Linked DNA regions of Saccharomyces cerevisiae S288C. The gene in region 2 interacts genetically with the main gene of each other region. Each region holds a gene or a part of one and is shown on either strand. Other genes may lie near its edges.

What was found.
Region 1: mutations in SPT21 (region 2) and SDO1 impair growth when combined (synthetic growth defect), as found in Saccharomyces cerevisiae (one study listed by BioGRID).

The regions. Positions count from the first base shown.
Region 1 is NC_001144.5:183,674-187,087, forward strand, and holds SDO1 (guanine nucleotide exchange factor SDO1), read right to left. Parts: upstream 1,254-3,414; coding exon 501-1,253; downstream 1-500. Other genes in the region: IRC25 (Irc25p), read left to right, coding at 1-489; IZH3 (Izh3p), read right to left, coding at 1,825-3,414. UniProt on the Saccharomyces cerevisiae protein: Involved in the biogenesis of the 60S ribosomal subunit and translational activation of ribosomes.
Region 2 is NC_001145.3:618,287-622,047, reverse strand, and holds the start of SPT21 (Spt21p), read right to left. Parts: upstream 2,191-3,761; coding exon 1-2,190. Other genes in the region: FPY1 (flavin adenine dinucleotide pyrophosphatase), read right to left, coding at 2,745-3,569. UniProt on the Saccharomyces cerevisiae protein: Required for normal transcription at a number of loci in yeast.

The DNA.
Region 1 (3,414 bases), on a different chromosome or scaffold from region 2:
TTGAACGCTTCATCCGAAAACAAAGAATTGTATGTACAAGCCACGCACTTTAATAACACAATTCTATTGCAAATCAGACTAAATGGGGAAATGGATTCCACCTATGAGGTATCTTCAAAAGGACTAAACCCAATTCTCGATATCAACGTACCACTGGCAGGAAACCTAGGAAACACGGGTGGCGATTATGACGATGAGGAAGAAGAATTTGTAAGAGACCATTTATCTGATTATCAAGTGGTTACCAAGTTGGGAGATAGTGCCGATCCTAAAGTACCCGTGGTATGCGTACAGATTGCCGAACTATATAGGAGAGTTATTCTACCAGAAGTGAGCGGTACGATGGCCCAAGACAACATGCAATTCAGCTTGCTGATATCCATGAGCAGTAAGATATGGAGAGCAACGAAGGAACAAAGCGCTGACGATAATGATTTTGGCAAATTAGTTTTTGTGTTAAAGTGTATCAAAGATATGTATGCAAAGTGATTCTATATAAATTAGTTATGCGTTGTATTATCTATGACTGCCATATCCAAGACTTGCACAGTTCCCTTTTTATCACATAGGGTCATCAAATCTCTATAATTGACAGGATCGATAAGACCTGTACATGTCCAAGGATCCAATTCCGGCTTCGTTGACTCTCCAGGCGATGAAGCTATCAATTTACTAATCTTCTCAATAAGTTCGGGTTGTCTAGATGGCTCACTTATGGCCACTTTGACTTTCATCTTCGCCCTTACTATTGGAATAATTTGCTTAGAAACCAATAATTTGATAGCCTCTAAAGCTTGCAATTTGGCAGGTTTGTTAATAACAGGGCTGAACTTCAGTTCCTGTAAAGCTTTGTGGATCATTGTGGGCGGATATCTTTTCTTTGACACAGGATTTATACATTTAGCGCTAACTATTGTAAGCATTTCGTTATTAACTTTATTAAGCATTAATTGTCTTTCTTTTTCCGATAATTGAATCTCTCCCTTATGCATGATCTCCTCGATGACATCATCAACATTTGTAGTCCCGAAACACTTTTGTAGATCTTCCTTATTAGCAACCAAGCCTTTCGAAACATTCATGAAAACTTGATGTATCTGCAGCACTTCATCCAGATCTTTTTCAATTCCTTTTCGATAGTCTTGGACCTTATTTTGGTAGCACGCGACTTCAAATCTCTTGCGAGCCTTTTTTAATCTCACTAATGAAACATTAGTTAACTTAATCTGTCCCGACGGTTGATTGATAGGCATTGCGTGTTTTACCTTTTCTTTCTCAGAACTATTTTAGTAAAAATTTTAAAAACTTTTACTACTGCATGAAATCACTTAAGTTCGGCCTAGAAAAATTTTTTCATGAACATTATTATATATACAAGGCACTGAGCAGAACAATACACGCTAAGTTTTGTTCTTTCATGAGGTCATAATAAGTTAAATAACAGTCAATACATAAATGCAAAACTAAAAGTACACAGTTTTATTATTTTCTTTTCGTCGTAATGTAGTTTTTATAATCAGTCAACTTTTTTTTTGCTTTTAGATTTCGTTTGTTCCTTTTGTCTTTGGATCCAAAGTTTCTTGAAAATGTAGCCAAAACAATGCCAGCAGGAATATCGAAAAAGATGGGTATAATATAAGTAAAAAAAAAATTTTAACAATGAAATAATACAGGAGAATTCGTGGTTTACAATTTCTGGTTTTTTTCGAAATTGCTATGTGGCTTCTCCAACAATGTAATTGTAGGCTTTTCTTTCTTTTAAGTCCGTTTATCGTATACAGAAAAAGTGCAGGATGTTGTAAGTAAAGGTAGTCAGTCATACCATCATGACAAAATCCACCTCTTGGCAAACATATCTAAAATAGCTCTATAATGGCCGATGACACCCAACACTACGAAGAAATGCCAAAAAGTGTGCGAACAACCAAAATAGTCAACCCACCATAGAGATTTAAATGATTTGGCATGAGACGGACAGGAACTGCATTTGGAATGGGCTGTTGGCACCTCTCTAAAATGAATTTCCCTTTGCTTTGTGATGATTTCTAAATCAGTAGATAATTCGTAGTTTGTTGGAATGGTCTTATCAACCTGAACGTCAGATCTGAACCGTTCAGGAATGAACGAACCGTAAAATACCACACCAACCAAATACCAAACAACAGATTTGTATGTGACGGGGCTAAATAGCGTTGCAGCATAATGAAGATCAGTCAAAAATATCAAATGTAAAAACGACAATACACCCATAGTAGCCAGCAAAATGAAGAATCTAATTCTTAATGGCCTTGCTTCAGGTCTATCAAAGCGAGGCGACCAATTCATAAACACACCAAATACACCCAGCGCCAGAGAAATACTCATGTAAGTGTACATCGCCCAGTAACATGAATACATGGTAACAAACTCCGTTGTCAATATCGAAGCTGTAATTAAGATCGTAATACCGCTATAGTCGACACACGCAAATTTAGAACGTAGCTTCAAGAAGGACGTTCCGTTGAAAGTATGCCAAAACACGGAGCTTAGCATACATTTCAACGCAGCTGCCAAAAACATGAAAACAATCCATCTAGCCTGTGGTGGAACCTGGGAATTCCGCCAAACTTCAGACTGAGGGAAATCGTAAATTGCCAAGTAGATTATATAAATGGCTCCTAACAAATGAGACCAAATATTTGAAGTTTCATTATGCCAGCCGTACCAGTTAAAGATAGACAACAAAGATTTGGAATGGGTATTGTAAAACCTATAGCCATGGATTATGTATCTGTTTTCCCTCCATGGGAATGGCAACTGATAATAATGTAAATGTTGAGTTTCACCTAGACTATACGCTTTGCCATGGTTGTATGAGTTTATAAAAGACTTGATATCGGTAGTAGGATTCAAAGGTTCTTCAATGAGGATTTCCGTCTTTACCATGGATTTTCTCATTGGACCGCAATAGTCTTTCACGCTGGAAATATAATTGTTTTCCTCTTTGATTTTTGTATCATTGAGACGACTTGTTGGGGAACGTAACGAGGACTTCGCTTGAGAACATACAGTTGAAGATGAAGACACCAGTGAAGTGGATGTAGAAGCATTGTTAAGCTTGAAAGTAGCGACTGAATTCACCAAAGTGGCTGCATCTGAATCTCCCAGTGAAAACTGAGATTCTGTATTCAGAGACTTGCCACTGTTTCTTTTGTACACAGAACTTGTTACTTCCTTTTCTTTTGTTGGACGAATTATCTCCAAATCATCATACCGCCCACTTTCAGAGTGTTTAACACTTTCATCAATAGTTGAAAATGGATGAGGAACGAATTTTGAGTAGTTGTAATTATAGATGGATTTACCGGATTTTTTCACCTTCTGAAAATTGTCCACACCCTTCTGCTTTAGCCTTGATAGAGATCCCATGGGTGA
Region 2 (3,761 bases):
ATCGTTGGTCTTATCGCTTTCATTATCATCGCCGATATTGTGTCCTTGCTCTTCTTCAACTATGTCCTCAGATAATTCCATGGGTTGATGATAATTGAACATCCCACATGGTGAAGACGGTATTGCCTTTTGCTTTTTGAGGGCTTCCTCCTCTTCCTCTTCATCCAAAACTTCTTCATGAGATCTCTTACTTTGCTGAGTTTCCAGCATGCTAGTAAGCTTTTTCGAAGCTGTAACATTATTATCAGAAGCTGGCTGGTCAGCTGGAGTAGAGAAATTTATAAGCCCTGCCTGAGGTTTTGTATTGTCCGAATCTATTACAGATGCCTTTCTATCTTTTATATCATTATCACATGGGGTGGCATTATTACTATCTGTTATATTTAGTGTCGATCCTTCTTTAATGGATATACGCTGCATGTTTGTTGTCGAGCTTGAATGTGTAAGTTCAATTAAAGGTATAGACAACGAGTCTATTGGGGAGGTTTTGTCAACATCGCTAGGCAAAGATATTTTATTATTTTGCGCTGTTTCCAATTCACTGACATCTTCATTTTCGAGAGCAATGGTGTTACAGGTGTTTGGATCGTTGAGTGTTATAGAAGGCTTCAAATTTTGCTGATTGAGTTGTGATGCACTTGCAGAAGTTGGTGATTCAAAAAAATTGCAATTGAAATTGGAAAACCATCCCATCTCATCTTTAAATACTACATCCGAAAAGTCACTCATGGGGAACTCAGCGTTAAAATCCAAGTCACCTTCAAGCTTGTTCTCTTTACTAGTTATGCTTTGGGGTGGAATATTTTCTTTATCATTTTCACTAGTTAAAGATATCTTACGCCCCTTTTGTTTTTGCTGCAATTTCTGCCCTTCAATGCCTGGTTCCGATAGAATGTCACTTAAAATTGAATCGTCATGATCATTTAAATGTTCTATCACTGATGATCGCCTACATCCTGCTTGTGTAGACTTAGCCGAATTTTTGGAATTCGAATTCTTAACTTTGACAATCGTTTGCTTATCATTTGCTTTTTTTTCACCACTAGTCTTCGGCGGTTGCTTTGGATTTATGTTTATTGAAGCTGGTTTTTTTGCTATCGTTGCTATACCAGGTGACACTTTTTTCGTAGACTTTCTTTTGTTGAGCATAAAATCGAACCTCTTGCTTACCGAATCATCGATCTTGGTCCTCTGAATAGTATTATCGTTTTGCAAAGTATTTATTTCGTAAGCTATGTTTTGATGCTGGTTGTTTTGTTGATTGGCTTCTGTTTTTCTATCTGCTAAGTAGATTTTGTGCGCAATTGAATTTCTTGGGAAACCAGTATTCGCTATATTTGGTTTAAGATTCCAGATGGGTAAAGACTGAGTTCTGACAGCTTTTGGAGCAGGCATAGGATTCGTCTGTCTTCTTCCCACAGTCCCGCTATTAGTATTATTTATTGTTATCGTGGTCCTTGCATTCCTTGAATTTTTTATTTGGTTTGTCTTGAAAAGAGATTGCGATTTTGGGGTAAACGGAAGTGTTGCTGATGGTAAAGAAGACGGCATTTGAAGACACGATATCCGAGAATTTGTAGTATTGTTACCAGACGTCCTTAAATTGGTTATAACTTTTGTGAATCTTAGTTTAACCTCCAAAGTTTCTTCCGGAATTTGGTTGTTTACGACCCTTCCCTTTTTATTCGAGATGTTGCTATATGATCTTCGTAGTAAAGCGGAAACATTCGAGCATACCCTTCCAGTAACTATAAAAGATTCATCTTCATACTCTTCTTCAGTTACCTCATCTCTCTCTTCACTTTCTTCTTCACCAATATTGTTTTCTGTATACTGGTAGGGGCTATTCTTATGAAACTTTTTTCGAAGCCCGGAAAGAAGACCAAGGCTTACTAATGGCTCATCCACTTCACATATGTCACGATAATACAAGTTATAATCATATCCATCTTTTAAAGTGTCATGGTCTAACACTTCAGGTGAATTTAAGTATATTTCATGCAGTATAGTCTTCAAATGGATGGCGCCAATTCGCAACTCCGTTTGCTCATTCGAATCTGTCGGGAATGGACTAGGAATATTAGCAACTCTTACCTGTTTTGGAGCCCTTGAGCGGGCTAAATAACTACCATTGGATCCATTATCCAATGTGTAAAGGATCTTCAATGTCATTTGAGAGAGTTCAGACATTTTACCAGAGTCTTTTGTTCAAGTGAATACCAATTCCAATCCAGGTTTCAGTTGCACCTGGTCAAATTGACTTCAGTTATGTGTGTTGACTAGGTTCAGCTTAAGCGTTGCTTATAAAAGAAGAGATGTAGTAAAGCAACAAACTCACCACGGCTCAGTGCAATTCCCAAGAACCGAACTCTCCATTCAATGGGTCTTTCTCTTCACACACACCTTTTTTCTAACGCGACGCGTTTTTTTTACCTTTTTTATATCACGAAAAAAAACGCGACCGTAAATGAAGGTTTTTCCTTTCATGGAGCAGTTGTATCTATTGAATGAATTATATACCTTTTGCTGGTTTGGTCCTTTCGGATATGCATTTTTCAAATGTTTACTTTAGCGATTGAAGCTCTAACAGTAGCAATGTGATCTTTAATTTTTCAAGGTACCTTTCTACCACGAGCAGTGTACTTTTTTGTTGAGAAGAAAGCGCAACTACCGGCGATGACTGAGATGACTTTGCTCCCAAAAAAAAAATCTATATCTATACATAGTTCTAAATACTCGGGTATTCAGCTCTCCTGGTTCGAGAACTTGTTTTCAAGTTCAGAAGAAATTACTTCTCCCTCGAGGTTATTAACAACTCTATTGACAATACTCTTCAGATATGAATCGTCTTTCTTTTCACCCAAAATACTAACTGTATTGAATCCCATACCAAAATGTGGGTATGAGCCTATTTTAATGGCTTCTGAAACTTTTGTTGATTCATCCTGAATCAACTTTAGCTCTTTAGAAATTTGAGACTCAGTTAGGTGTGTTCTGACAAAATAACGAACATACTCACGTGGATCCTTGTCCAAATTATATATTTTTTTCAACGTGGGAGTGAACGCTTTCAGCATCCTTGCAAATAGTTGAGGGATACCGGGTAGTATATACATTTTGTGAGATATAGAACAAATAGGTACCCACAAGTCATCACACACATAATAATTTTTGACGTTTGTGCCTTTTGGCATGGTTGCCATTTGGTAATGCGCCTTTAGAGCATCTGCATCAAGCCTTGCTTCAGGGTCAGATTTATGCCTCATTCGTTCTTTGCATTCTTCATCTAGTTCACAAGGCAAATTAAAGCTTTTCGCCATACATTCGTAAGTGATGTCGTCATGAGTGGGGCCGATTCCACCTGTACTGATGATAAAATCATAATTTTTGACTAATCTTCTCACAGTATCTACGATCTGGGTTTCATCATCCCCTATAGTTGCAATTTCTTTTAATTGAATTCCATGATCAAAGCAATACTTCGCAAAAAAAGTGGAATTTGTATCAACTACTTTTCCATTCAGCACTTCATCACCAATTATGATACAAGCTGCAGTTACTTTCACCATTATACCCTTGACAGTATATACTTTGCCTCCTTCAGTAATTCTTTTATGTCATTATTATCACCAGTAATGACTGCTATTGTTATATCCCTCGCTCTTTCCTTTTTAGTCTCTCGGGCAGCCATAGTCGTTTTCCACGTATATTTTTAATAGAGAAGATCCTAAAACATTCAGTTAGAGTATTATAGTTAATGA